Caenorhabditis elegans: one gene and its partner. The protein of the gene in region 1 interacts with the protein of each later gene in a pairwise test. Each region holds a gene or a part of one and is shown on either strand. Other genes may lie near its edges. The genes, in order: F53E10.6 and lpd-6.

Region 1 (14,582 bases):
AGTCCAAACTTTTAAAAATTCTGAAAAGTACGAGTCTTCAAAAAAGTGCCAGAAATTTTTTGGCAGTATTGGAAAATTAGGGTATAGGCTTAGTCTTAGGCTTAGGCTCAGGCTTGGACTTAGGCTTAGGCTTAGGACCAGGCTTAGACTTAGCGTTGAACTTAGGCTTAGGCTGGGTTTAGGGAAGAAAAGAGAGGGAAAAAGAAAATGTTCTAGAAATTTATAAAAATCCAAAAAAAAATTTAAAAAATCAGGAAAAATATGACATTCCGAAGTAAAAAAAAATACTTAATTTTAAAAAAAGTTTTACGGGGGTTGGGAAGTTGAAATTTAAAGCTTCTGAAAGTCTCTTTCTGAAAATTAAAATTTTTTGGAAAATTTGGAAAAAATTGGAACAACCGAAACAAATTTTTGAAAATTGGGATTTTTTGGAAATTTCGAAAAAGATGAAATTGGTCTGGAAACCACTAAAAATTATAGTACATTTTGGAAATTAAAAAAAAAAACTAAAATTCCGGAAATGTCAAAAACTGGTCAAAGCTTCAAAAATCTTCGAACAATTTTTTTGAAAAGTCTGGGAATTTTGGAAAGTAACAGAAACTTTAGGATGTTTTTGGAAAATTCAATAAAAAAGTCTGGAAAGAACGGGAACCTATACAAAAGTACAGAAAACGTTCAAAAAAATTCAAAAAAAAAATTGAAAAATTGTGGAAGTTTTTGAGAAACCCCAAAGAACGTTGGAAACTTTTGGAAAATTTGGAAAAATTCTGGAAGCTTCTGGAAATTCTCACTTTTGAAAATTAAAAAAAAGTTCTAGAGCATCATTTTACAAAACCCAAAAAATTATTCTAGAATTGCACCTAGCTGCCAGTAAATTCATACAAGTCCTCTTACACTTCTCTTTTTCCAAAAAAAAAAAAACGAAAAGGATTTAGTCGGGGTGGGTAACTGGCATCTAATCGAGAATGCAGTAAATCTAAGCGTGCGAAAATGGCCGAAAATTCTTTTGTCTGAAAGGCTTGAGAAGGAAGCTTTCGAATTTTGAATGGGAGCTATCATGGACGGGGGTGGTGGTGGTAGATCAGATGACCCTTTTTTGAATTTTTAGTCAATTTTTTTTTTGGGAAGGAAAATTATTTTTTGGATATGATCATACTATGGAAAATGCAATGACCAAAAAATGGGTGACAAAAAAATTTAATTGCAGGGGTTTTTCCAATTTTTCATTTAAAGTACTCCGACAAAATTCTGCCAGGAACAGCTACAAACTACAAACTACCAAAAGATACTTTTTTCCCAATTTTCTGAGTTTTCGAAAATTCCTGTTTCACCTAATTGTTTCAAAATTATATTTCTGTTTTTGGAAAACAATTGTTAGCAATAGAAACAAAAAAAGCAAAGGTTGAGACTACAAAGTACATACTACAAACTATAAACTACAAACAACATACTACAAACTACAAACTACAAACTACAAACTAGAAACTAGAAACTAGAAACTAGAAACAACAAACTAATTGTAAGCATAACGAACTAAAAATTATACTGAACATTATAAACTTGTGAACATGTACATTATAAACCACTAAATGGAAAGTACAAACTTCAAACTACAAATAACACACTACAAACTACAAAGAACTAGTTTTTTCCCATTTTTTCCTGACTTTAAAAAAGTTACATTTTCAGATTTTAATTTTTTTAAAATTACATTTTTAGAAAAATACTGAAAAATAGAAACAAAAACATTGCCGATACTTGCTTCAAACTATAAAGTACAAATAACGATCTACAAACTACATACTACAAACTAAAAACTACAAAACATTCCAAACTATGATAGTATTGAAGGTAAGTAAAGGAACTAACTGAAAACAATTTTAAAACAATCCCGAAATAAGCTCCGCCCATATCTTGGCACTTTATAGTTCTTGAAACACATTTTCTTGCACTTTTTTTTGAAAAATGCTCTTCTTCAAATTAATAAAATATTTTTACACCGTAGTACTCAAAAAAACGTCATGATGGAGTAAAAAATAAACGCTCTTCAGATGTTCTGCCCCGAAAAAAAATTATTCGCGCACATTGTTCTTCGATACCTTCGCCTTGTTTTATGCTCTTTCTCAAGAGCTCTCATCAATTTTTTTTTCTGAATGACTGGATTGTTTTGTTTTTCGGTTGTGAGCGTAGTATGGAAAAATACTCGTAGATTTGCAGTCGTAGGCCTTCTCAGGAAACTGTGCCTGCCTACCTACAGCCCCAATAATTTGTTGAAGGTTAATTGAGCTATTAAGCAGCCGACAAAATACGAGGCCCAACTGATTGGCCAACTGCGCCAATGCGCGGCAAACGTGCTCTATCGCAATTCGCAGCCCGGGAGACTGTGTGTGTGTGTGTGGGGCTAATTTTTCGAACTCTCAACTTTCTGTTCCCGCTGACGTCATCTATTTTTGCGTCGTCTCAAACCACTGTTCTCGAGTTTTCTCACGGCTTTCTAGGACAAGTACACTCATGAGTTTCCTGGGAAATGAACTAAAAAATATGTTTTCGAGTCTCAAATCCAAAGTTCCGTGTCATTTCCGAGTCCGGGATCTTATTTTGGCGAATTTTTTCAAGATATCAAAATTGTTTCAAAAAATCTGCTCCCAAAGATTAAATTCCAAGGATTTTGCAGAAAAAGCACTAGACAAGGATGAAAAAAAAGCGAGAATGGGATATATGTGAAAGCATCATCACAAAAGATCGCCCCGCGCCACTATGAGAACGGAAATTGTGTTTTTAGAGTAAAAAGGAAGAGGAAAAGGAGGATCAAGACGAAAAGTCATCAGATGATGACGTGGAATTGGGTGCAACGTATGGGTTGGATTTTGCTATGCGGCCGTGGAAGAGAGATAACTAGGCCATTGTAAACTTAAGTTATATAACTTAATGTAAGTTAGATAAAAATTGGTGGTCACAAATTAAATCCATTTTTAATTAAGCTAACGAGAATGTCAAAATTTTCTTCCCGCCACAGATTATTTCTCTATAAAATTGAAACTCTCGCCCAAAAGGTTTCCTCAGAAAATTTGAATTTTACGCCAAAAAAGTTTACCAGAAAATTTAAAATTCTCGTCAACATTTTTTTCAAAAATTTGAATTTTGTGGCAAAACTGTTTTCTCAGAAAATTTGAATTTCCCACCCCATTTTTTCAGCGATTTCCAAAAAAAAACCTACAAAAATCTCTAATTCTAATATTTTACGGAAAATTGTGTTCTATGAGGGTGGCCGAATTTTTTATTTTTCTCGGTCACGTGGGAAATGCCAAAAGAGCTCATATGGTGCATCAAAAACAAATTTGAAAAAAAAAAAGAATTTAAGAATCTGAAACTTGGAAAATCGAATTTTCCAGTTTCACTGGAATTTTCAGTTTCCGGATCGTTTTTTTTCTTCAGAATTCAATTTTTTCAAAATTTACCCCGAACAAAGAAAAACAAAACATTTTGTGGTTAAACCGACATGAGTAAACATTTCGACAAAATCCCCAGTAGAAAAATCTAGAAGCGGGTGTCTGAAAAGGCTGCAAAAAGAATAGAGCGCTGAAACTTTTTCAAATGTGTCATTTTTATTGGTCGAATTAGCGGAGGCTCTGAAAATAAGAAGTTTTGTTTTCAAAAAGCGGGGCCTGATGCCAAGAATTGGAAATTTTACAACGTGGCCTAGAAAAAAAACTCGGCCAGCAATTTTTTTCCCGCTAGCCCACTTGATATCACGGATGTCAGGCTTCCCTCATAAATTGAAATGGAAGAGTTTTTCGAACTAGGCCATTTTGTCTCGGCCATATCTGGGGAAGATTTACGACGCGTTGCGTGTCGCGTCGCGGTTCGGTTTTAGTTGTAAAACTAAATGTATTTGTCCGTGTGGAGTACACGAGTTTCCCACGCGTTGTCCGGCGGGCGATTGTCAATGGAGCGCGAAAAATTCAATGAGGAGGGCCAGAACCCGTGTGATATTTGACCATTTTTCGGACTTAAAAAAACATTTTTAGCGTTCAAATAGGCCTTCTTTTTTATTCGAAAACTGTTTAAAAACAAGCGTTTTAGACGAAAAAACATTTATTTTCCGAAAAAATTAGTGTATGCGCCTTTAAATTCGGGTTACTGTAGACGAGAAACTTTTAGTTATAGGTTATTTTTCTATTTCTTTTTTATGATTTATGCTTAACATTGTTTAATTTTGTGTTTTAAACAAGTTTTAAACTTTTTTAGCAATATTACTACGGTCAACTTAAAGGAACATACGACTATTTCTTTATTTTTCGAAAAGCGCGGCGAGACCCATCCATTGCGATTTAATCGTTTTCTCATGTTTTTTTCGGTCTCAATCACCTCAAAACATATCCAAAAAAAAAGAAGAAGAAATAAAAGTTTATGGAACGAAGCAGCAAAAAAAAATAAAACGACGGGGCGACCGCGACATCCCTAAACAGGGTTAACGAAGCGATAAGTGACTTTTGAGAACAATGCTTGTTTTTTGTTCTTCTTCCTTTAGCTTTTTTTGTCTTACCCCGTTGCACCAAGTTCCGGGGGCACCAAAAATTGACGAAAAAACACATTTTTTAAAAATTCCAGGTTGCAAACGCGCCCCATTGAGAAAACCAGTTCAAACTTGGGAAGGAGGGTTAATATAACAATGAAACCACGAAAATATGATAGAAAATGAAAAATATTTATTGCAAAATATTTATTTTCGATTTCCTTCCTTTTTTTCCGAAACCGGAAACACTAGCGGCAAGTAATATCAAATGACAAAATCAAATGTTGTGGGTGGTTTGGATGGAAATTCAAAAGGAAATTCTTTGCTCTTTTGAACAAGAATACGATGTAAAAGATGTAAAAAAAAATCTTCAAGTCAAGAAAAATGAAGAAAAAAGCAAAAAAAAATTGAAAAAGGCAGCACTTCACCCCCTCCCAACTTGTCAAACGAGCATTTTCTCATTTTGCTCTTCGAGTGGGCGGAGTATAGACGTTTAACTTTTTAAATAAACGTTCAAAAAGCAATTTAACATCCATTCCCGTGTTTTAGCTGATGTTTTTATGTGCTTTTTGAGCTCCGTTCGATTTTCCCAATTTGAATGCCCGCGCATTTCGCATGGCCGTGGACGAGGAAGTGCGGGGGCCGAAGCGGACAATTTTCTCGGTCAAATTCATTTTTCGAAGGTTTTTAATCAATTTCCGCGATTTTTCAGGCTATTTTCTCATGAATTTCCTTAGAATTTTTATATTTTTAAATTCCTCGAATTTTTTAGACCATGTCGACAAAAAACCGCGATCGATTAGTCGTCACAGAAGACTCGGACGACGATAATGAGAGGGAAGAGATGTCATCAGGTATTTTATCGATTTTTCCTCGCTTTAAACACTTATTTTTGAACTGAATTCGTGTATTTTGAGTTTAAAAATAAATAAAAAAAACGTTAATCTGAGCAATTTGAAAGAAAAATCAATAATTTCAGGCGGAGAAAGCGGAGAAGAAGGCCCTTCCTCTGTAGATGGTGGAGCCGGCGACGCCGACGAGACAGTTGCCTTCCCAGCCATTGAGAGGGTGAGAAAACGAAAAAAAAACCCCCGGTTTTTCGTCAAATTAAATTAAAAATTGCGATTTTCAGAGAAAGAAGAAGGTGATCAAGAAGCTGACAAAGAAGGAGCAAAGTCTGAAGAAGAGTGTCAAGGAATACCGGATTAAGTTGGCTCTGGTCAAGCCGGATATCACCACCGACCGGGAGAAGGAACGAAATTTGAGAAGAGTCGCTACAAAGTAGGAAATTGATATTTTTTCGCGGTCAAAAGTCAATTTTCCCATTTTTGCAGAGGAGTCGTCCAGCTCTTCAACGCCGTCTCCGATCGTCAGAAGACAATGTCCGACGCGGTGAAGGAGAAGATGACGGCTCGCGAGAGACGAGAAGCTCGTCAACGATTCGACGGCAAGAACTTTGATTCGGACAGATTCGCGGATTCGGGATATGTTGGGGCGAAGAAAGAAGTGAAGGGAGAGGATGACGACGGAGAGGATCAGATGGATATTGGAGAGGAACAAATCGATACCGGGAATTATAGCGATGAGGATTAACTTTTTTTAAATTTTTTTGTTATCAAATTTTCTTTTTTTTTGTTTTGTTCTGTTCTGTTGTTGTTTTATTCATTAAAAACCCTTCATTTTATCCATTTTATTCATTTTTGCAACAAAAAAAAATTATCTTGGCGCCGGGCAGGTCACCAATCCAGCATTCACGCAGGCTGGATTCACTGCCTTCGATCCGGCGACATCCACGTTACAAATGTAGACACCGGCGTTCCAGTCACAGCAGTTGCGGTAGACGGCCGCCTGGCAGTTGAAGTCCTTTTGTTGGGCACTGGAAATTTTGGTGCGAATTTTAGGAAAGAAATTTGCAGGAATTCGAAATCGGCCTTATTTTTTGTAGGCTTTTCGTATTTTTGGCGAAAAATACACAGAAGAGCGAAAGTTTTGATTTTTTTTCTAGAAAAATAGACAGAAAAACTAACATATTCGCTTTTTTCACTCCATTTTTGTCGAAAAAAAAAATTATAATTTCACAGGATTTCGACGTGTCTCCTTAAAGGCATACATATTTATTCGATTGGGTCTCGACGCGCTAAAAAGTTTATGACGGCTAACTCGACTAATTGGTACAAAATTCGGCTAACGGATAATTCGGCTAATATTAACCGAGTTAGCCGAATCAGCCGATCGGCTAATTCGGCTAATTCGGCTATTATCCGCACACCCCTGTTCTAGAGGCGAGGTATCAAAAAGCCTTCAACTACAACCATGTTAAGTTCGAAGCAATAAACGTTTTCATAGTTGTAGGCATCTTTTCATCTTTGTCCAGAACTGAGATATTGTTGAGCACAGATCTAGCATATTTTGGTTGTCTTGGAGCTCACATCTCCGCAGCCACTAAAGATAACTAGAAAGTACCCACTAACAAAATGTTTTTCATATTGTTGCCAACAACTTTTCAACTGTCTACATTTTATTAATTCAAACACCAACAGAGTTATAAGTCTTAGAAAGTAAGACGTCTATATGCTCAGTCAACTCTAATTTGGTTAATTGTTTAGCTAAAAATGCAATATGAATGCCCAAACTTGTAAGAACTACCAAAATTGTGTTTTCTATAAAGTTAAACACTTTTTGAAAAAATTCCAAAACAATTTTTTTTTCAATTTTTTTCAAACATAAGAGAGGAAATTTTAGAGCTGAAGATTCAGATCATAAAGGAGGATCCTTGTGATCCTTTGGAGCTGAAGATTCAGTTCATAAGGGGGGACCCTTATGATGTTTTGGAGTCTTATCAGTGTTTTTAGAATTTGAAAAAAACCGGAACTTTTTTGAGATTTTATTTTTTAAAAATTAAAAAAAAATTGTTTGTTAAAAATTGTCTTTAAAAATTAGCAAATACAGTGTGAAACTATCACTTTCCGTATAAAAATATTTGGAAGAAAGAAAAAACTAAATTTGAATGCGCGCGCAGAAGATGTTCAACAGAGCGCGTTTGCTTTTCGAGCCTTTCGCGCGCATTAATTTGAAGTCTGTGACGCAAACACCGCGACGCACTTTTGCATGCACAATCTTGAAAAAGTTGGCGGCAATGTAGAAAAAATGCGCTGTGGAGACGCAGTCGATAAAGTAATAATTTCGACATTTAAACCTAAGCAGCCTTTGCAATATAAAAAATAAGTGTATGCGATTTTTTGGCTCGTTTTTTTCATAATTTTTAGAATTTTTAATTTAGAATATAAAAAATTTTTAAGCCCATTCCTAGTATTTTCACATTTGTTGCAAAAAAGATCCTCTGAATTTCTGATTACTCGGATTTCATCTGATATGTGTGTGGCATTACAAAACATCTGTTCACTTTGAGCAAACTGCTCCTTGAAACAAGACAGATTTTGAAACATTTTAATTAAATTTCCAAAAATGGAAACAGTGTCGACCAAAAATATATGTGTGTTCAGTCTTCCTAGGATAGCCTTCCTCATTTTGTTTATTTTTGTATGAAATTTGAGACAACATCAAATAGCACAAAATACAGTTACCGTATTTCCTATATTAGACTTGCCGCGGAAATACAGTTATTTTATGAGTAGTTTTCATAAATAGCGAAAAATAAAAATTAATGATACTTATTTCAAACTTCAAAAAATTAAAATAATCGATGAATTTTTCTTCTTTTTTTTTGATTTTTGAAAAAAGTGCTTGAAAAATGTTATATTCCGATATTTATGAAAACCACTCATAAAAGTGACTGTATTTTGTGCTATTTGATGTTGTCTTTGAGATAAAAAGAAGCAAAATGAGGCAAGTTATACAAGGAAGACTGAAAACGCATATACTTTCGGCCGACACTGTACGTAAAATACATACAGGGTGGGCCAAAAGTATGGTAACACATGAAGCGCTCTTTTACATGAGCTTTTTGCGCGACTGCCACGTCATACGTACATTCTTTTATCGAATACTGATAGCTGAATAAATTTCCTTCAATTTGACTCAAAATTTGTAATGTTTCCCAATAAGGTGCGATCTTTATCACCTCGACAATTTGGCGAACCCTTTCGAAAAAACGGTAATTTGGCACGCGGCACTTCCCACACAAATACACCTCCTACGCACGCCAATAATTTTCAGATGTATGATTTTTATGTTAAATTTAAAGTTAAAGAAGTGAAGAAGCGTTTTTAATTGTTTTTGTAGCATATAAAAATTTTCTGTGTCGACACTGGCGCCTAGCAAGAACCTTTGAATATTTCATGAATTCAACTTTGCGAAATTTACTCAGTTTTTTTGGTTTCGCAAGGCGTAACGACCCACAAAATCATCCGAGCTCAATTTTTTTTAAAATTCTGGAAAGTCAGGTCAAAACGTCTCGAAAAATACTAAAATGAATTTTTCTGCATACTGCTACTCGCCGCTCACATCCATCTTTCTGGCGACTACGCCATTCAAGACTTAACCTACTGCCGCAGTCCATGACAGAAATACCGTGATAGAAATTATTTGGATTTTTGTTTTTAAAGAATCTCTAGACCAAGCGCATTCTTTGAACTATAAAAACTTGTAAGACACTTGATGGATTCCTCGAGAAAAATGTAGAAATCCCGCAGAATGCCGACTTGCGTGCCATAAAGGTCGTGATCTCAAAAGTTCTGAAGGCCTGCAGCGATGCGGATGGGAATATTTTGAAAATTCAAAACGTTCATCTGGTCAGTATTTTATAGAGAACAAAACTTGTACAAATTGATGTAATAACTCTCTCCACTAGTAAAGTTATAGAGCTGCAAACGTGTTACCATACGTTTGGCCCACCCTGTACATATGGATAAAATCAAGAACAATTATATTCCAGTGCACTTCAATATGGACAACAACTCTAATGTCGAATTTTTGACTGAAGAATTGGAAGACTTAGAGATTAAGACCAATTGGGTTGGTATCATTTTCCATTCCTGAATAAGACAGGAAACAATATAATGTTTTAGATCAATGAATGGTATCAACATATTGCGGTAGTTAAGACAAACAACGAACGCGATGCTGACGAGACGTTGAACTACGAAATGAAGGTATTGTGGTTTTTGAATACTTCAAAATAACTAACATTGAGAAAATTGATAATATTTTCCTACAACTACAACGAATAACAATTCAATTGTATATATTTTGAGGATCCTCACGATCACAATGTTGATAACAATGACAACCCGGAAATCAGGCAACCAACTGAAATCGGTAGGTCATTCTTTATTTAGATTTGTAAAAACTTTAGGCCGCTTCGATCTTGTTCCATTTTGAATTTTTCTAGATCCACGTCCGCCTTCATATACTGTAAATGAAAACCACCCGGATCCAATGTATCAACGTGAGTTACCTGAAACTATTGCCACTTTTGAAAGTGTAGTCTTCATTTAGAGCCAGAAACATCCCGAGGGAATTGGAATGAACAATTGGATGATTTATTTTTAGCGGAATATAGGGAACAAACTCATCTGTCTCAGCACCGCCTACCTGACATTGCAGGTTTGTTGAGGGGAACCTCCGATTTAAAATAAAAAAAGAGCTGATTCAGACTATTTTCCATCAAGTCGCGAACCAAATTCAACAGGAAATGGGCACTATAATGATGGTAAGTCAATTGTCATGAATTGAAAAAAACATAATATACAGTAGTGGCCACAAGTAAATGAAGTTTAAAACAAATGTTTAAAGTTTTTAACTTTGGTGACGATGGTTTTACTGGGGATTCCATATGGGCGCCGGTCAGGCGCCTTCGCGAGTTTATGCGTCATTTTTTCTTCTATTTCAGATGGAAATGCAAGACAATCTACACCTCAATTTAATCAAGCTGAAATTGCGCCGATTTCCGTTCCTTTGTATCACGCCCACAATAGCCAAATTGGACATTTTGAAATGACGCTGCCGGTTTTTCAGGAACATCAAGTAATGATTCATTGTCAAGCTAACCAACCTTTCAGTGAGTCGAATTCCAATTTTCACAGGCACAAAAAAACAAAAATAAAAATTATGGAATTCCGGAAATGTTTTGATAGATTTGGATTCTAGATTTTTTAAAAATATTATTGGTACGTTTGTGAGCCAGGAAAGTAAATTTAAGCCGCGCTAAAGAGGTTTTTGTGTCGAATTCCAATTTTCACAGGTATATACAGGCACAAAAAACAAAAATAAAAATTATTAGAGTTGAACTCATTCTGTGAAAAGTAAAAAAAAAACATAATTAACTTAAAGGTGGAGTAGCGCCAGTGGGGATTTTGTCTAAATGCACTTACATATAACGACCCAAAACAACCGAATATCATAATAAAATACTCCAAAAATTTTAGTTTTTTTTATAATTTCCGGTCAAAGTTTTTGGCAAATTGCCACAATTTTGAAAAATACGAGCTCTTGAGGAAGTTTAAAGAAATGCCGCATGTTTCGACCCCTACAATGTAAATAATTTGAACTAAATTAAAACATAAAAAATGTAGAAATTTTTTTTTTGGTCGACTTCCAGTGGCAAAAACTGAGTAATTGCCACTTTTTGACAGTAAATAAAAAAAATTCCAACATTTTTTTGAAAAGTTTTGTTACTGTATTCAGTTATTTTGGAACCAACGGAGTGGTTTTTAACAATTTCCCCACTGGCGCTACTCCACCTTTAAAATTTCAAATCTGCCAACCCACTCTCCGAACCCTGTGTACAGAAGAACTACGAAGAACAACATTCCGAATATTGGCAGAATAAAGAAGAATGTTGCTCAAAAGTTTTCAGAACCGAGACACAGAATTAAGAAAACCGAATTGCTGATGTTGGTAAGTATTTCAATCTGGAATTTTTTTGGTATTGCCAAAAATTCAAACATCAGACCGAACAAGAAAAGAAGGATCGAATTAAAAAACAAAACCAAAGGAACACTGCCAATTACGAATTAAAGAAGAAAACGGCACTTGAGAAATCGCGTTATGAACTTCCAAGGCTTCAATCACGACTTGATGAAGTCAAACGTCGAACACGAGAAATAGAAAATCAAGTTTCGGATGTTTACCGCATTATATCTCAAAGTTATAATACGAGTTATTTATACGGGAGTTTTGAGGACTTTATTGGAACACTCCAACAAGAAAAAGCTAGGCGAATAAATGAAATCACGGAGGAAAACAAGGAGAATATTGAACATCTACAAAAAGTAAGATTTTTTTTGATAGAAACTAGTTTCTATGTTTTTTTTATTTGGTTATATATTCGTTTCTATTTCAGATGTCTACAACCGCTGAGAAACTATTGAATGATTTGAAAAATAATAAAGCACCAAATGATGAAAAAGGAAAAATGACGATAAAAGGAACAAAGGGATCAAGAAAAACTCGCGCGAAGCAAAGTGCTGAGTCGAAGACATTAGCATACAAGATAAGACTAGGAGAAGTCGAAATCGAAAAGTTTCAAGCAATATCGGAAACATTGGAGCAGATTGCAAAGAATGTCGCTCAGTTCGTATTGGAAAATGGCATTCCAGCTAATTATTTCTATGAGAGACCATTGCACACTGTAAGGTTCTAACCTTCCTTACATCTCTCGCCCTTACCCAAACCCCCCAGTGATAGAATAGGAGTAGTGTAGACAGGAATAAACTCTTTTGATTTGCAGGAAGATCGGTCAGATGTCAGTCACGCATTGGATCCTACTTGTTCCTTGTTACCAGCCCGTCGGCACATCTTCGGATCCAACCGTGCACAAGAGCAGAACGCTATCGCAGCGTCAATTCCGCAATAATCGAGTTATTCCGCTCCTCTCCATTTATTTCATGCCCACAAGTCTCCCCACTACAGTAGCCCTGTGTGTGTGTGTGCGCGCGCGCCGCGGGTCACACACTTGTTTACGTCTTCTGGATCTTTCTGTGGCGGCGTCGGCGACTCCGCCTTCCCACCGCAGAGGGGTATATAAGGCGGCATTTCTATCACTCGAGATCTTCTTTTACTTTCCTGTATCCCCCTTCTACCTGTCCCTCCTGTTATTCTTTCTTCTGTCACCCACTCTGTTGGGGTTTTAATTAATATAATAAATGTATTCTTTAGCACATAAGTGTTCTGTTGTAGTATGGGATGCAACAACTCATTTATCATCATGATAATTCGGAGGAACACGCTTAAAACCTTTCCTACACACAGTTCGAACCACCATAACTGAATTTTTTACAAGATGAGCACTTTCCAAATGGTTTTTCAAAATTCAATACCACGCATATGTACATATGTATATATTATGCATATATCATTATTATTGCTATTTGTTTATTTAAAATAATCTCTATCGTGAGAATAAAGTATAAATGAAACCTTATCATAAGATCACATAGGAAAAACATTAGTTCACACAAGAGCGTAAGAATATATACAGTTGTCGAAATAATTACCATATGGGGGCAAATAGCTCACAATCAGTCGGTAGTGGTGGCCGCGAGCAATCTGGAGGTCACGAGTTCAAGTCCGGCCTCAGCCTATAGGTCTCTATTGGGAGATAAAGCAATCCACGACTGGCTTATCGGCCACAGTCTCCGGCTAGAACGTGACTCGGTGGGATCACCACCAGGCAGTGTTTGAGCCAAGAAAGAAGTGAAGGGAGAGGATGATGACGTTGATCAGATGGATATTGGAGAGGAACTAATCGATACTGGAAATTATAGCGACGAGGATTAATTTTTTGTTTTTTGTTGTTGTTGTTTTATTCATTAAATTTCATTTATTTTATTCATTTTTGCAACAAAAAAAAAATTCAAAAAATTATCTTGGCGCTGGGCAGGTCACCAATCCAGCATTCACACACGCTGGATTCACTGCCTTCGACCCGGCGACATCCACGTTACAAATGTAGACACCGGCGTTCCAGTCACAGCAGTTGCGGTAGACGGCCGCCTGACAGTTGAAGTCCTTTTGTTGGGCACTGGAAATTTTGGTGCGAATTTTAGGAAAAAATTGCAAAAATTCGAAATCGGCCTTATTTTTTGTAGATTTTTCGCGAACATATTTCGTATTTTTGGCAAAAAATACACGGAAAAACGAAACTGTTTTCGTTTTTTTAGTTTTTTTGGAGAAAAAACACAGAAAAACGAAAGTTCTCGCTTTCTCAAAAAAAAAACGACAATATTATAATTTGACAAGATTTCGACATTCCTTCAAAAAAATATCAAGTTGTTTTTGAATTTTTGCGGGGAACTTGTTTTATATGAAATTGTATGGAAAACTGATTTTAATCAATTTAAACAGAGAAATATCAGAGAAAAACTACTATAAACTTTTGCGTGTCGAGACCCATCTAAATTAATACGTGCTCCTTTAAGGAGGCAGTGTGGAATCTTGCGAAATTACAATATTTTTCACTTTTTTTCGAAAAAAGGGGGAAAAAGTTGCTAAACGATTTAGCTAACTGAAAAAAAAACTTTTAAAAATTTAAATTTTACCGGGTTTCGAAAAAAATTTCATTTTTACAAAAAAGATAATTTTTTTGCTTTTTTCTCAGACGGAAAGTTTTTTTTTAAATAGCTCTGTTTTCCCACTCACGCGCAAGGATCCATTCCATTCTTCATGTCGATTGCCGCCTGAGCATCACATTGATCGATATTCGGCTGATAACGATCACGGCAGAAAGCCATACAGTAGAACTCGGTCATGGTCACTGAAAAAAATTTCAGAGAAAATGTTTCTCCAAAAATCATTACAATTATATCCGACTCCACACTGGTACTCTGTCACGGCCAAGTCGATCCAGTAGTCGGTGGCCTCGGTGGTGTTGGCGGCGTTCATTTGCATGTAGGCGTTTGGTCCCATGCAGGAGTACGGAGCCAAACAGTTGCTCAACGCGTTCCCGAGTCTGGAAATTTTCGAATTTTATTTTAAAATCTGGAAAAAAAGCTGCAACGTAGCGCACAAAAGTTCGGTGGCCGCAGAGTGGGAAAGCTCGGCCACGGTTTGAAAATTAAGACAGTGTATTTCGAAACCGGCAAAAATAATTGAAAATGTTTGAATT
Region 2 (17,153 bases), on another chromosome or scaffold:
ACAAAAAAAAGCTTTAAACGGTGGATAGCAAAGAAATCGAATAGAAGTTCATAAACTGATTGATCAAACTCGTAGCGTTTTAACAAGACCAAAATCATCATTTGAAGATGCCTATATAGTATGTATATGAATTTTTCAATTCGTAAAAATTCAAAATTAGTGGTTTTTCAGTAAAAAGTCAAAAGATCGGGTTGTTAGCTGGTAAATCTCGGAATTTCTCAGAAGCAAATAGTTAAATAGATTTTACATAGTCTATAGTCTATGAACCTTTCACCTTGCACCTGGGCAACACTGATTACTGTGCCATATTCAAGTCTAGATCTTATAAAAGTTTTATATATCAATGTCATTAGCTTTACGTTTTTTTTAGAACTTAAAAACTAAAATATTACATAATATCCGGCATTGTTTCAACACTTAATCTGGCGCCGCCAAATCTTGGTTCGTTTTCGAGTCCTAGTAAAAATGTATCTTTCATTTAAGCGACATATGTTTGGCATATTACCGATATATAAAAAACCAAGAGCAGCTTTTGGCTTTCCTGATTTTGGTAGCGGTAAGACTATAGACTCTGACCGTGTTTTTGGAATTTCATCGCTTATACCTCCGCATTCATGCTGGCCTGTTTCTGAGCTTCTTCTCTCAACATGAGCTTATCCTTTTCAATTTTTCCCTTCTCCTTGAGTAATGCAGATTGAGTCTTCTCGAAGCTTGCTTTCTCCTCTTCCAGCGAAGAATCGACAATTGAAAGTTCTTTTAGCAATTTGCTGAGGTTTTTCTCTTTTTCAGCGATTTTTTGGATTGTTGCATCGTATGGAAGAGTGATTGAATCGTTCGTGTGATGATGTGAAGGTTGAGAGTTAGAAGAGATCTCTTCGAAGATGGAATTCACTGAAAAATCGACAATTTAATATTAAAATTCTCAAAAATTAGCTCTACATTGGAGAATAAATTATTTTTCGAATTTCTTCCATTTTCTGATAATTTGCAGCTCTAATATTTGCGTTTAGCACGTTTTTATCACTTTATCACATGATGCCAAACTTCTATCCTCCGAGAGGCCAATCTCTACAAAAAATAGAAAATTATTTCTTTCCATGTAAAAATACAAACATTTATTGACTAAAGACAGTAAACTACGTAGAAAATCAACGGAAAACGCCAAAATTCTAAATTTTTCGCGAAAATAAGAGGCACCACGCTTTCAAGATTTGGTCGCTTTCCGGATCTACGATTTCCAGATCTCACAGTCTCCTCGGCATCGAAAGCGCAGTATACGCAGCTTACTGTCGCATTTCGCGTTTGCTAGTGTATTTTTTGAAGATTTTTCCGAATTGCAGAAATTGTGCGGCAAATACTCTTGAATTCAAAAATTCTTTCAGATGAAGACGGTGTTCGCGAGGGTAGGTGATATCATTGCCCGACATCTCGCGAGTTCCGCGGCTGACAATGTTTACCGCGCGTTGAGGGCGGAGCTCTTTCCCACGTGTCTCACAATTTCTGAAATTTGGAGACAAAGGCTCAGCCAATTCGGAAGATAAATGCTCCGTAAACATTTCGAATTACGCCGAGGAGACTGCAGATCTTTGTTTTCTAAATCTGACACCATGTCAACCGCAGTTTTCGCAAACGGTGCAAAAAAAAAGAAAAGAAAACGTTGATCTGGAAACGGTAGATCCGGAAATCGTAGATCCGGAAAGCGATCAGATCTTATAACCGTGGTGCCTCGAAGAAAAAATTAAAGGCGCACGGAAAATGAGAGGCGGGTCTCGAAGCGATAAATGGGGGTACTGTAGAACTGCAAAAATTTCCACAACTCATCAACTCAGATTTTAGTTTTGAACAGATTGGTGTTTTTCTGAACTTTTTTCTCTTCCTAAATAAATTAAATTTTGCAAAAATTTAGAAACTCATAAAATATATTTATCTTGTTTCAGGAAACCAGCGATTCCCAATGAATTCGACTGCAGATTCTGGAACTTTCGTCGCAAAATTTAATGCATGGATCGACTTCATCGGCTCCAAAAGTAAGTAATTTCGAGACAGCTGCAGCTTCTACTTAAATTGAAAATGGAATTCTGAATGTAATATTCAACTTTTGAACGAATTCTGTGTGAATCCTAACTTCTGCAGTAAGCGTTTTTTATATAAAAATTTTTCAGAGGCGTTCTTCACCAATTTGAAAATTCTCGCTGAGAATGGAATTCATGAATCAGTGATTCGAGCACTCGTTCTGCACAATGCAAAGCTACCAATCCCAAAATGTGTTGCAACAGAGAGTTCAGTTGAAATTTGTAAGGATTCCCACCCTTTTCACTTCACATTTTACATAAATAAATACTAATTTATTTGCCTGTAAATTCTCTCTGATAATTTACAGAAAGAACGGACGAAATCGGTCGAGGACAACGATTTCTACAGCGAAGGCAATCCACGAGGAGGAGAAACTCCAGTTCAAACCGCCGCCAAGCTACAGAAGGTCGCATTGTCACGCCGAGACCCGTCGTCGTTAAATGCTGCGCCTTTAACCCCAGAATGCCTATATAAGGAGAGGACGACGCTCATTTGTGATCATTTCTTAACTCTTTAACCCGTTACTTGTCGTTTTCCCTTTTCTCTCGTTTACTGTGTATCGACGATGCAATTCGTCTGTTCCCTTTTACTTAATAAACCCTTATAAGATCGATCAGTGTGCGTGAGTGGCAGTTACATCCTATACCTTTATTAATTGATATATTAAGGTGTATATATGTTAGTTGAATTTCAGATAATTCTGCAACAATTTCTGGTATTTTCTCTGCGTTCTCTGTGAGATGCTGCAAGTGCTCCGATAATGTGACAATTCCAAATCTGTAAGACGTTTGCATCCAAAACATAACGAGCAATTATTGATTTTTCAGGTACAAACATATGAAACAACACGTCGAGAAGACGAGATACTCCTGTTCCACGTGCAGTGGAAGATTCGAAACAGAAGAAGCAGGCCTCCATCATCTCCTGATTCACCGCAGACGAAGAAACGTCAAGCTCTTCGACGAGTGGGATGGAGAAGCCGAAAAAAGGTATTATTCAGTTTCTCCTTCTCACCATTCTAACAAAACCATTTCCAGGATCGATCAGCTTCTCATGCGATCTGTCGCGAGAAAGCGAGACTGAAACGCAGAAGTTTGGTGTCAAAAACTTGTGGTTGCTCTCTTATGATAATTATCTCCCCCACCTATGCCCAAATCTCTATCATTTTTTCCTCCAACTGATATTTTTTCCCTCATTTTTTGAGCCAAGTAACATTCATTGTTTATTGTTTTTAACATTTTCTAGGCCGGTCTAAGCCGTTTCCACAAATACTCTTCAATTTCTATTTGCCAATTTCTCCCCAACCAGCTGCATTCTTGTCCAATATGCACAATTTTTCTTTTTTATTTTCATCGTCCCTCTCCCATCATTTTTCTCTTTCCCTCGTCACGCACTTATCTCTGTCACTATGAGATTCTTATCTTCTTTTTCCATCTTGAATGTTCACTTTCAGCTCTTTGAGAATAATCTTAAAAGTTCTTGTGGCCTGAAAAATAGTTGAATAAACTTGGTATCAGGTACTTGAAAGCATTTATTTACAAAATATGAAAGAAAAATTATCGCACGCCACAATAGAGCATCTCATTTGATTCAGAAAGCGCATAATCACAATTCTGAACAACATACTTATCAAAAGCAACTTTCGATTTGTAAACATCCTTGAAATATGGACGAAGTTGCTCCATAGACCAGAGTTTTCGATATTCAAAAAGATATAACATTCTTTCTTTAATAGTATCAGGAAGATCTTCCGGTGATAGGTATGAGATCACTTTTCCGAATGGAGCATCAGAAATATCGGCGACACCTTCCAGCTGGGCAATGTTCATAGTGACTCCATATGGTAGAATCTTGTGCAGGAGTTCACGAAACTGTTGGAGAGGCATTTTTTGGGTTCCATAGAGAATGACGACGGTTAGGTCGCGGATCAGGTTGATCTCAGGCAGGCGGTAGGTGAAAGGATCCTCAGGATTCTGTTCGCATCGGGAGTTGAGGAACCAGTCAATTACCTCGTCGGGGACGTTTTCTGGAAGATTGGAGCGCAGAGAGGCTCGGGAAATCTGAAAATCGAAGAATTTCAGATTTTTAAGTTATTACGTAGAAAAATCTAGAAAAATCGCCATATCTTACGCGCAAGATATCCCGCGGGGAAGAGACGAAATTACTGTATTCTTGTCGATTTACGGGCCGCGAATCATTATTCGAATTTAATTTTTTTTTAACTTCGACCAGCAATTTTCATTTTCAGTCGTTTTGCGTATTTTTAATGGATTCTTCAATAAATAATTTATTTTTGAGAAATTTTGAAATTCAATTTTTCTCAGAAATGTGAGTCTTTATTAAATTTTTTAAATTTTTTTTTGAAAAAACTCTGAAAAACTGAAATTTTCGTGTTTTTTTTTGGGGTTTTTAATGTTTTTTTTTTTTTGGAAACACAGAGAAAAAACTCCGAAAAACTGAATTTTCGTGTTTTTCCGGATTTTTTTTCGATTTCTGTTTGAAAAAAACAACAGAAAAATTGAAAAATTCAGTTTTTTTTCCGGAAAATACCGAAAAAAATCTGAAATTTCTGGAGTTTCTGGGTCTTTTATTCTATTTTTTTAACAGCAAAACCTCGGAAAAACTGAAATTCTCGGTTTTTACGATTTTTGTTGGGAAAAAACAACGGAAAATTGAAAAATTCAGTTTTTTTTCCGGAAAATACTGAAAAAATCTAAAAATAAAAATACGAAAAACATCTGAAAATGAAAAATTGCTGGTCGAAATTCAAAAAAAAAGATTAATTTCGAATAATGATGCAAGCGCGGCTCGTAAATCGACACGGATACAGTAATTTCGTCTCTTCCCGGCGGGATATCTTGCGCGTAAGATATGGCGATTATTCTACCTTCTCCAGCTTCACATCACCGATTGAATCTTCATCGAGAAGCTCCACAATTAATCCGAGCATTTCTCCACGATATTTATGAGATAAATATCGATATCTTCCGCTTGAAAACTTTACAACCGGCAAATCATTGAGTGCAATTTTCACTTCTTCAACACTCATTTGAACACTATTCAGCAGGTCTCGAAGCTTATAACCCTTTAGATTCTCCTCTTCCTCACGATCCTTCCAGTCCCAACGTAGCTCCTGCTCGCGGAGCATATCCTTAAGCCGTCCGATGCTCAAAACATCCACTTGGGGACACAGCTCGCCTGTTGAGAAGCATTTTCCACCGATCTGAATTTAATTAAATTTTTAAAAAATTTTGAATTTCGAATAAACTAAAATAAATAAAAATAAAAACAACTGACAGTTTTCACCTGAAAATTCGGAAGCGTCGGTGAATCTGGAGCTTCCAGGCATTTATGAAGAAGAAGAACCGTTGTGGCGGATTCGATAATTTTCATGGGAAATGTGGCGTTGTCTGTGCACAGAACCGCGTCGTCAGTTGAATCTCCGCGAATTGTGAGGCTTTGACCTTCACTAAAGGCTCCGATGACTGATTCATCCACTGAGAGAAGCATAAATTCTGAGGAAGGATCGGAGTAATCCGGCGAAAATTCCATTTTTGTCATGGTCTTCTGAAAATTTTCATTTTTTTCCCCAAAAAAAAACTAATGCTCCAAGAAAGCTTACATTCATCGCCTGATCAAATGGCCTATTTTTCGATAAAATATCAAATGTGAATTGAGCATCCTTCTCTCGTATTGCGTGCTGCAGCTTTTCCATTACAGAGGGCTCCTCGAGCGTTTTTTGAGGTTCAGGCGCAACGATATTTTCCTCATTTCCACTTGCCGGAGCTGGAGCAACACGTTTAGTAGGTTGAGTAGGCTTGGATCTTGTGACGAAGCGATTCATTATCTGGAAACAGATCTGTACAGAAACTGAGAAAATCGATTTAAAGTTTAATTTGAAATTGGCGGAAATCGCGGTAAAAAACTTGTCGTCAGCTATGGCGCATTGGACGCAAACACTTTGACGGCAAACTGCACACTTCGTATTTTTTTTTTTTCGCAATTTTTTTCGTTCCATTTTCTAACCTAAATACACTTAATTTAACAATAATCTTTATAAATTTCAGTTCGAAAAAATGAAAATGAAGAAAGGAAAGAAGCAGAGAAAGTCTGGAGCTCATAATCGCGGAAATGTAGATGCTCTAAGTCAAAAAGATGCCCTTTATCATCAGGAAAAATTCGTGAAGAAGCTACAGAAGCAAAAGTTTTTGGAAAATAAAGAAATTGAACTAGCAAGACAGCCTCATTGCTTGGTTATTCATCGCGGAGACGTCGGAAAGTACGTGAAGGGCCTGGAGTCGGATTTGAGAAATCTCGTCGAGCCGAATACAGCGAAAAACTTGAAAATTCTCAAAAGAAACAATATCAAGGATTTTATCGTGAACGGTGCGGTACTTGGAGTCACCAATATGATGGTTCTCACTTCCAGTGATGCTTCCTTGCAGCTGAGAATGATGCGTTTCTCCCAAGGACCGACGTTATCGTTTAAAGGTTGCCAATTATCGATTTTAAATAAAATTCAGTAATTTAATTATTTTAATTTCCAGTTAAACAATACTCCCTGGCTCGCCACGTTGTTAATTGTCAAAAGCGACCAGTTGCCACTGATAAACTGTTCAAATCCTCGCCGCTCGTTGTGATGAACGGATTTGGCGACGGAACGCAGAAGCATCTCTCATTGGTTCAGACTTTTATTCAGAATATGTTCCCTTCCATTAATGTCGATACGGTAAAATTTTTAAAGATGGACTACGATCAGGGGGAAAATTGCTTTAAAACACGCCTATGTGGTCACAATGACCGAATATCATTATAAAAAATTCAAAAAAATGTTCTAGAGTTTATATGATTTTTTGAAAATTGGAAAAATCACAGTTTTCACCTAATTATTTTTGAATTTCCGCCAATTGAATTTGTTCGGTGGAGCGCGCTTGCATTATTTTTTTTTAATTAGTTTTATTTATTCTCGTTATTTGACTGATTTTCTTCATTTTCTATGTTTTTTCCTCGGAAAATGGAAGAAATAAACAAGAAAAATGCAAAATGTTTGTTTAAAAGTAACTGAAAAAGCATAAAACTGTAAAATTATGAGTTCCGACGACAACAAGCCTGAAATTAGTATATTTCAGTTTTACTCATTTTCAATTAGTTTTTAACAAACATTTTGCATTTGTCTTGTTTATTTCTTCCATTTTCCGAGAAAAAACATAGAAAATGAAGAAAATCAGTCAAATAACGAGAATAAATAAAATTAATTTTAAAAAATAATGCAAGCGCGCTCCACCGAACAAATTCAATTGGCGAAAATTCAAAAATAATTAGGTGAAAACTGTGATTTTTCCAATTTTCAAAAAATCTTATAAAATCTAGAAAAATTTTTTGAAATTTTTTATCATGATATTCGGTCATTGTGGCCCCATAGGCGTGTTTTAAAGCAATTTTCCCCCTGATCGTAGTCCACCTTTAAATCGATTTTTTTGTCAAGTTTCAGAAAAATTATACAAAAAATTTCAGATTCAACTTGGAAACCTGAAACGCTGCCTGATCGTCAGTTATGACGAAGAAACTGACGAAATTCAAATGAGGCATTTGTAAGTGCTATGAATTTCTCTAAAATATAATTATATAAATTTTTTTTTCAGCGCAATTCGAGTCGTCGCCTCAGGCCTCAACAAGTCTGTGAAAAAGCTTATGCAAGCGGAAAAGACGATGGGAAAGAATATTCCGAATTTGAGTACCTACAAAGACATCAGTGACTACTTTTTGAAGTGAGAATTGTTCAGAAATTCTACAAACTGAGCCTGAAATTCAGTGATTTATCTGAAAAAAACGTTCATATCAGTTTTAAAAATAGGAAAACCCCTCAAAACTGGTCAGAAAACTGGAAAATTTTCGGGAAAAAACTATACTCAGACGATTTTTGAGCATTTTTTTTTTCAATTTTTCCAACTGAAATAAACGTGATGCCTCTCAAAATTTATGGTTTTTCTGAAGAATTTGAATTTTTTCTCTCTGAAAATTCAATAATTCTTCAAAAATCATCCTTTTCCAGCCCCGGACAGTTCAGAATTCGAACGAAATTGAATTTTTCTAATGTTATTAATAAATTTCCATTAAAAAAATTCAAATTTTTCATAAAATGATTAATTTTGGGAGGCATCGCGCGTTTATTTCAGATCGAAAAATTGAAAAAAAACCTCTAAAATGGTCTGAAAATTGGAAATTTCCGGGAAAAAACAATTTTTAGACGATTTTCGAGGACTGTTTTCGAATTTTTCCAATTGAAATAAACGATATTTTCAGATAAATCACAAAATTATTATTAAAAAATATTCAATTTATTTAAATTTCCCTTCTTTTTCCAGCCCCGGACAGCTCAGCGATTCCGAATTCGAAGGAGATCAGCAAGAAGTCGAACTACCACAGGACATTTCAGAAGGACGTGGCTGCGGAGTTGGCCAGAAGAGCAACGTCCGTCTTCACGAGATCGGACCCCGACTGACTCTGGAACTCGTCAAAATTGAAGAAGGAATCGATGAGGGAGAGGTGCTCTATCACAAGCATAATGCGAAGACTCCAGATGAACTGATAAAACTGAGAGCTCATATGGACAAGAAGAAGCAGATGAAGAAGCGTCGTGAGCAGGAAAGTGAGCAACGTGTCATTCGAAGACTTACGATTGTCAAGGAGCAACAGGATGCTGAGGAGGCAGAGGTGAAGGCGATTCGAGAGAATGCTGCTCGTAAGCAAGCTGCCGCTACTGGACAAGTTGAAGAAGTTGAGAATCAGAAGGAGAAGGATAGAGAGATTGCGATGAATCGGGAAAGGTATAGATCCCCGTAATTGAAGACTTTTTAATTGATTTTTTATATTTTTGCAGAGATCTGAAGCGTGCCAACGAGGAATGGGGTACATCTGAAGCCTCGAAGCGTCCAAGATATGAGGATAGTCGTGGGGGATTCCGAGGTGGATTCAGAGGAAGAGGAGAAGATCGTGGAGGCTTCCGCGGACGTGGCGGAGATCGTGGAGGCTTCAGAGGTCGCGATCGTGATGGAGGTGGCTTTAGAGGAAGATCCGTGGATCGTGGTGGCTTCCGTGGAGGTGGTGGCGACCGAGGAGGCTTCAGAGGACGTTCATCAGATCGTGGTGGAGATCGTGGAGGCTTCCGTGGAAGATCGGGAGATCGTGATGGAGGATTTAGAGGTGGATTCGGAGGACGTGGTGGCGGTGGTTTCCGTGGAGGCGATCGAGGAGGATTCAGAGGACGCGGCGGAGGTGGTGGATTCCGTGGTGGGCGAGGTGGAGATCGAGGCGGCGGTTTCCGAGGAGGTCGTCGTTAATTCTGATATCAGTTGTTGTTTTTTGCAATTTGTTGTTTCTCCATTCTCCATTTTTATTTTTTTAAATGTTCGTTATTGTTATCGTTATAATCATGAATTTATCAGACTGTTTTCCTGTTTACCCGCTAATTTAGAATCAGGAATGTCGCTGAAAAAATGTGGGACTTAACAATTTTACCGAGAAAAATCATGTTTGCGCGTAATTTGTGATGCTTTCACAGATTGGGCTCACGGACGCAAACTTGTCACATCAAAGGAGCTAATTGCTTTAAAACTTTAAATTAGCTAGTTTCCTGCTTTATTTCATTGAAAAATCAATAAATTTCACAATTTCAGGCCTGTATGTATCACGGGAACACAAAATTCTGAGAATGCGTACTGCACAACATATCCGACGCTCAAAATATCTCGCAGCGAAAACTACAGTAATTTTTTAAATGGCTACAGTAGTGCTTGTGTCAATTTACGGGAATGAATTTCTTTTCGAATTTTCTCGTATCATTTGCTTAGTTTTAATATTCTATCGATAAATAAATCAATTTAATCCGTTTCGAAAATCGGGTCCGTAAATCGGCACAAGCGCTACTGTATCCATTTAAAGAATTACTGTAGTCTTCGCTACGAGATATTTTGTGCGTCGAATATGTTGTGCAGTACGCATTCTCAGAATTTTGTATTCCTGTAATAGCAAATTGTTGACTTTCTGGCCCGGAAAATGTGTGTGGAAAAGGAAAATGTCACATAAACTCGAGATTTGTGCGTAAAATGTGATGCTTGCAGAGTTCGGCGTCACGTACTCTTTGCATCACATTTGACGCGCAAATTTGTCAAGGGAACAGCAGCCAACTGGTTTAAAACTCAAAATCGGCGATTTTCAAGCTTTATTTCATTGGAAAATCAATAAATTTCACAATTTCAGGCCCCTTAAATTTTGGGGAAAATGTGTAAAATTCACTCTCGAGCCCGTAAATCGACACAAGAGCTACAGTAGTTATTTAAAGAATTACTGTAGTTTTCGCTACGAGATATGTTGCTAAAAACTATATAAAATTTGGGAAAAAGGAATTTTGTTTAAAAAAAATCGCGCAAATTTTAAAGTGGTACTTGGGCTCGGTGGCAGAGATCCAGGATATCAGTTGTTTTTGCAATTTGCTGTTCCTCTATGTTCTTCAATTTCATAATAATGTTCGTTATTGTTATCATGACATTATCAGAGACTGTTTACCCGCCAATTCAAAAATCAGTAGTCCCGACGCCGCCATGTCGGCTGCTGACCTGCCGATCAAGGTCATTCAAATTGATGCACGACGAGAATAAAAAACACTTCTCCCCCCATTTTTCCCCCATTCAACATGAAGATTCTGACCGTCTTCCTCCTTGTGGCAATTTCTGCAAATTGTGCCACTCCGTGTGATCATCAGGATGCTGTCAAATCAATGGAATGTAAACCGTTACTGGGGCAGTTGGCTGGTGAAATGGCTAAACACGCGGATATACCACCGCCAGACGAGCTCAAAGAGTTCTCGTTGTTGTGTGAACAGACCCTTGTGGGTGTAAAACGAACTTGCGCGTCAAGTTTGACGAATATAAATTGCTCAAAATTTGCGCGTGAAATACGGTGCTGTTAGTAGATTTTTCAAAAAGCAAGTGAAATCAGGCGTATTTCGTCGATGCACCATGTCTGAAATTTGCATACTTTTTCAAATTTGCGCGTAAAATATGGTGCTTTGCATACTTTTCATTATGTAAAATATTCTTATCACAAATGTTTTGAAATGCGCGTGAAATCAAATGTATTGCTTCGATGCACCACGTCTGAAATCTGCGTTTTTTTCCTAATTTTGCGTACTTTATCAAGTTTGCGCGAAAAATACGGTGCTTTGCGTATTTTTGTTCCCGAATTCGTAGTTTTTGAAATGGATTAAAAACCGTAAATCGACACAAGCGCTACAGTAGTCATTTAAAAAGGATTACTGTAGTTTTCGCTACGGGATATTTGGCGCGTCAAATATGTTACGTACTACGCATTTTCAGAATTTTGTATTCCCAATATAAAAATTCACCAAAAGTTTGATATAGTTAACCATTCCTTACTGAGAAAAACTAGTTTTGCGCGTAAATTCTGGTGTTTGCACCGTTCCGCCTTACCGACGCTGTGCACCACATTTGACGCGCAAATGTATTAGTTTAACATGTTCCAACTAGTTTTAGCCTCAAAATCAGCAAATTTCGAGCTTTATTCTACATTGTTTCAGGCTTGTATGGAGCAAGTAAAATGCGATTTGCTCAAAAATGCAACTGGTCTGATCGCCAAAACATGCACCGGAATCAAATTGATGTCTGGTCCATTTGGACAATGTATTGATGACGTATGGTACTTTTTTCAAGAAAAAGAAAAATTAAAAATACATTATTCCAGCTCCGCAGCACTCCACCATCGCTGAAAAAGTATCCATGCGGGCGATTCTTGAAAACGGAGGTGAGTGTGCAGATATGGTACATTGCACCATTTTACGCGCAAATTTAAATTAATTAATTTGAAAAGTTACGCTTAAAATGTGGTGCATTGTGTGCGCATAAAAGAAGCACCATACTTTACGCGCAAAAAAGGAAATATTCCTGTAATTTTTTGCAGAAAGGGCGCCCGGGAAATTGTCAAATGTATCAGGATGAGCTCGAATGCACAAAACATTTGACATCTGATAGGTGTGGAAAAGAAGCTGTTGATTCGATGAATAAACATATGGGATATATTCTTGGAATGATGGAATGTCCTGTTTCTGTATGAAAAATCGATAAATGAACATTTATTTTATTTATATTTGTTTTTTGTTGGGTCTCGGCACGTGCATTTGTGCGTCAAGTCAGGCAAAAATGTGCAAAGTTGAGATATTATGGAAAAAAAATCTGAGAATGCGTATTGCACAGCATATTTGACGCGCAAAGTATCTCATAGCGAAAACTACAGTAACTCTTTGAATGACTACTGTAGGTCGATTTACGGGCTCGATTTTCGGAACGGATTAAAATAAATTATTTATCGATTATCGATTGAATATTAAAATTTAACAAAAAATGAAAAAAAATAATACGGGGAACGAAGAAAAATTGAAATGTCATTACGAAAATCGAGTTCCCGTAAATCGACACAAGCTCTACAGTAGTCATTTAAAAAATTACTGTAGTTTTCGCTACGAGATATTTTGCGCAGTACGCAGTCTCAGGGTTTCGTGTTCCCGTAATAACTATATAAAATCTAGGGAAAAAGGGATTTTTTGAAGAATAATAAAATTTATTTCTTTAAGAAACAAATCTCACGTAAACTGTGATGCTTGCACAGTTTGGCTTTACGGATGCCTTGCATCACAATTGACGCGCAAATTTTAATTTATTAGTGAACACGTGGTGTCAGAGATTTCGGCTTGATTTACGTAGATCTACAAAAAATGCGGGAGAAAAGACGCAGAGTTTTCAACTGATTTCGTATGTTTAAGAATGTGCTGACGTGACTTTTTTGTGCAAAAAATTCCCGCATTTTTTGTAGATCAAACCGTAAGAAGACAACTTGGCACCACGTGAGTGAACAGATGTCATCTAGGTTGAAATTGGAATAATGTTACAAAATTAACCAAAAAACAAATCAATAGTTAACGAATTTTTTAAAAATTAAAATTGTTTCACAAGCATTTATTTTAATTTTTTAGTTTTTTTACATTTCAAGAAAACCACACCGTCTTTCTATCTGCAAACCCCTAACAAAGAATGAATCAAAAAACAGTTTCTCTGTTGTACTAAATACCACACCCAACACACATGATTTGATAGAATTCTCTCTCTCTCTCTTGTCTGCACACTCTTCAAATCGCACACTCTCTGATTTTCTCTAGAAATTCACGCCGTTGAAGTTATGAAGAAAGGTATTCTCTAAAAAAAGAAAAAAAATCAGATTCACGATGGTTCTTTTCTTTGATAAAGTTCCTATTAAAGAGTATTTCACGAAACTTTTCAATTTTTATGTCGATTTTCAAGCTGAGAATCCAAAATATCGATGTGTTTTTGGAAAGTGCCATGTTGTGGTGAGTTTTTATTTTTTCCAGAAATTTTTGCGCGTAAAATATGGTGCATTGCATAATTTTTATTATGTAAAATTTTCCTATCACAAAATTTTGAAATGCGCGTGGAATCAAGTGTATTGCTTTGATGCACCATGTCTGAAATTTGTGTACTTTTTCAAATTTGCGCGTAAAAAATGGTCCCTTGCGTGTTTTCACGAATTAGTAGATTTTTCAAAAAGCAAGTGAAATCAGTCAAGTTTCATTGTTGCACCATGCCTGAAATTCGCGATTTTTCCTATTTCTGCGTACTTTTCAAATTTGCGCGTAAAATAGGGTGCTTTGCGTATTTAATTTAAAATTAGTTCGTTTCTCCAAAATGCGCGCTGCAGATTTGCAAAGCAGTGCATCGCCTCCTGTCGAGGGACTCCCAATTTTTTCCAGAATGCTTCCAAAGTGCTTCTTCTCCTGGAAATATTTCTTGTAATCCCCATCTACATGCTTTTCCTGTTCCCATGGTGGCTCATGTGGATTGGTTTCCATCTCGTTCTCATTTTAGTCACAATATATGCTCTCCGTAAAAAGAAGCATCGATTCATGTGGCCAATGGTGTTGTTTACGGTGAGTTTGCTGGAAAGCTCACAATTTTTTTCTTTTTTTTTTAAATTTTCCTCTTAAAATTTTCTCGAAAAATTTGACTCTCCCTGTAAATTTGTTCTCAGAAAATTTGAATTTCTCATTGAAATTTTTCTTAGAATTCGAATTTCCTGCTGAAAAATTTTCTCACAGTCAGAAAATTTGGCCAAAATACCAAAGATCAGACTACACAAACGAAAAACGCGCACACACTTATACTAAATTCTATTTCAGCTCTCTCAATTTCTTATCTGGGGATTATTAACCGTTATTCAACTCTTGATCGCCTTTTTCGACACCCAATCATTCCTGAACTTCTACTCTCAAGGACATCATGAAGAGTTCTTCGAAAAAGCATTGGTGGTGATAGTTGTGAAATTGTTAGTCTTCGCGATCGGAGCTTTTCTGTTTTGGCGATTTTCAGTCTACTACGCAACCAAAAACTATTACTCTGATCGATTGGAGGGACAGGTGAGCCTTACGTCTACAGTAATCCTCCTACAGTAACCCTAGGGTGAAGTCACTATTTATTTCCAAGTCCATCCTACAACACTCCTACGGTTTACGCTGAGACCTGTTACTGTACTTTTTGGTTTGTATATTTGTATCCATAACCTTCACCTCTTCAGTATGGTAAAAAACGCCTGGCTACAGTAACCTGAGCTCCTAGACTGTCTTACAGTACCCTACCATTTCAAATCCCTAGCCAGTACATCTAGTATACAATTCCTTACAGTAGTCCTATACTACACCCTGAACTTTTATTATACCTGCAATCTGTTACAGTACTCCAACACCCGTATGACCACAGTCACCCACCTGAATTGTTTTTTCTACGGTATTTTTATCCTAATTTGCAGGTACAGTTCTGTAACCACAGTATATCCTTCCTACCGTAGTCCTTCAGTACCCGCTCCCTTCACTGAATAATTCCTTGTCCTCGCTACAGTTTACAAACAACCGTATGTCCACAGAAACCTGCACTCGTCCTCCTACAGTAGCTATATCCTAGATTGAGACTACAGTATTCGTACCACAGTACACCTCCCTTACAGTAGTCCTATCGTACACCCTCCACTCAAAGTTCCTCCTTTAGAGTACAGTAGTCCGTAGCTTCCTTCTCCAGTAGTTTTATTCTATCTACAGAACCCCTTTACTTCAAAATTTCAGGTATCCGCAACCGAGGAGAGCAAGGGTCTTGAAGGAGTCGCTCAGAAGCTTTTGCAGCCAGTTTAGATAACATCTTTTTAAAAGTTTTTCTAGATTCAAAGAAGAATAAACGTTTTACTAGCATGTAATTACAGTGGGAATAGACGCCACTCTAACTATTCTAGCTCTGGCAAATCGGATTTTCAGATTTCACAAATGCTGATTTTCAAACATTTCCAAGAAGAATAAATACTTTATTTACACTTTTCGAATCAAGCAGTTCTAGGTGGGCAAGTACAGTAACCCGCGTCTTCTCCTTCCTTTCCACGTGTCCCTGGTACTCCTGCAACTCCGTCCTTTCCACGTTTTCCTGGTCTTCCGTTCTCCGCCTTTCTTCCAGGTGCTCCAAGAGCTCCATCTTTTCCATCAACTCCTGGCTCTCCTTGTGCTCCAGGCTCTCCAAGTGGACCCTGTGGTCCTGGTCTTCCAGCCAATCCGACAATTGCGATAGTTCCTGGTTGTCCGGCTTGACCTCTTGGTCCAGCTCTTCCGGCGGATCCTGGTGGTCCTTGATCTCCAATTTCTCCAACTGGACCAGTTTCTCCTTGATCTCCAAGTGCTCCACGTGGCCCGGACGGTCCCTTGTCACCACGTGGTCCGAGTGGTCCAGGTGGTCCTGGTGGTCCTGGTGGTCCTGCTGGACACTTGATGCATTCTTTAGGATTTGGCATATCATGAATCACGACGTCTCCATCCACACCGTTGTCACCATCAACTCCATCGGGTCCCGGTTGTCCTGGATTTCCGAGAGATCCCTTCTCTCCTGGTGGTCCTGCTGGGCAGTTCTTTGTTGGCTCAGCGCAATCTGGAAAATTTGAACTAGGAGCTTAATTGGCGAGAAAAAGATGGCCTAAGCCTAAGAACAAGCTAGCAGAAGCCTAAGCCGAAGCCTAAGCATAAGCCTAAGCCTAAGCCTAAGCCTAAGCCTAACCTAAGCCTAAGTATAAGCTTGAGCCTATGCCGAGGCCTAAACATAAGCCTAAGCCTAAGCCTAAACCTAAGACTAAGCCTAAGCCTGAACCTAAGACTAAGCCTAAGCCTATGCCTAAGCCTAAGAACAAGCTAGCAGAAGCCTAAGCTTAAGCCTAAGCCTAATCATAAGCCTTTCTAGACTTTCCAACGAATAATAGTTTCTTTTCAGAAAAAAGTTACTCACTGCACTGATCATTTCCGACGTTTCTCTTTCCTCTCACAAATTCCTTCAAAATATTCGTCTTCTTTGGAACATTTCTCGACGTCATATCGTTCAACCGTTGCCACGTGTCATCGCTGACCTCCTTCCAGTCTTCCAACTCATCACGAATGCTCAAACGAAATGAATCGAGCTCATCGAGCATCGAAACCGAGAAATAAATAGTGCAGACGCTTACGAAAAACGCTGCGGTCGAGACACTTCCAATTACGAATTTCCACATGATGATGAGGAAGAATGAGATTTTCGGAAGATATTCATCTCATTTTTATACTCACTATTAGAACTGCAGAAAAACGTTGTTCGTTGCGTTGTTCTCTTTGATGAACTGGATACAACAAGCGGCGGAGGAAATGTTCGGTGAAAAAAGTTCCCAAGACACGCCCGAATCGTGATAGCCATAATCACTGTATCTCTGACGAAACCGTAGCACATTTTTAATAGACCAGTTTAGAATCTGTACTGAAAGCCAAAACGAATTTTTGTCGTAGCTGCTCAAAACTAGTCTCATTCGATAGGCAATGTTATTTCCTGTAGCTCATTGAACAATTTTGCAAATTGAGGTGGAAAAACACTCAATTGTACTAAATAAAGAATTCTCTATCACGGGAACACAAAATTCTGAGAATGCGTACTGCACAACATATTTGA

The links.
Region 2: the proteins of F53E10.6 (region 1) and lpd-6 interact in a two-hybrid assay, tested with the Caenorhabditis elegans proteins (one large-scale study listed by BioGRID).

What each region holds. Positions count from the first base shown.
Region 1 is NC_003283.11:2,593,770-2,608,351, reverse strand, and holds F53E10.6 (RRP15-like protein), read left to right. Parts: upstream 1-5,288; 5' UTR 5,289-5,291; coding exon 5,292-5,370; intron 5,371-5,495; coding exon 5,496-5,584; intron 5,585-5,648; coding exon 5,649-5,797; intron 5,798-5,850; coding exon 5,851-6,109; 3' UTR 6,110-6,199; downstream 6,200-14,582. Other genes in the region: F53E10.5 (BZIP domain-containing protein), read left to right, coding at 9,422-9,490, 9,544-9,627, 9,730-9,793, 9,867-9,923, 9,974-10,081, 10,131-10,187, 10,368-10,535, 11,334-11,374 and 3 more; irg-3 (Infection Response Gene), read right to left, coding at 13,340-13,499, 14,117-14,231, 14,275-14,426.
Region 2 is NC_003279.8:3,136,781-3,153,933, reverse strand, and holds lpd-6 (Brix domain-containing protein), read left to right. Parts: upstream 1-6,140; 5' UTR 6,141-6,149; coding exon 6,150-6,564; intron 6,565-6,620; coding exon 6,621-6,802; intron 6,803-7,587; coding exon 7,588-7,664; intron 7,665-7,715; coding exon 7,716-7,841; intron 7,842-8,438; coding exon 8,439-8,900; intron 8,901-8,953; coding exon 8,954-9,413; 3' UTR 9,414-9,523; downstream 9,524-17,153. Other genes in the region: K09H9.1 (uncharacterized protein), read right to left, coding at 605-649; K09H9.7 (C2H2-type domain-containing protein), read left to right, coding at 1,955-2,027, 2,163-2,294, 2,768-2,852, 2,901-3,062, 3,111-3,156; dscc-1 (Sister chromatid cohesion protein DCC1), read right to left, coding at 3,630-4,133, 4,961-5,296, 5,371-5,640, 5,696-5,917; K09H9.5 (T20D4.11-like domain-containing protein), read left to right, coding at 10,766-10,960, 11,669-11,782, 11,833-11,892, 12,049-12,201; K09H9.8 (uncharacterized protein), read left to right, coding at 13,367-13,489, 13,910-14,086, 14,336-14,572, 15,272-15,337; col-49 (Cuticle collagen 49), read right to left, coding at 15,523-16,115, 16,467-16,725.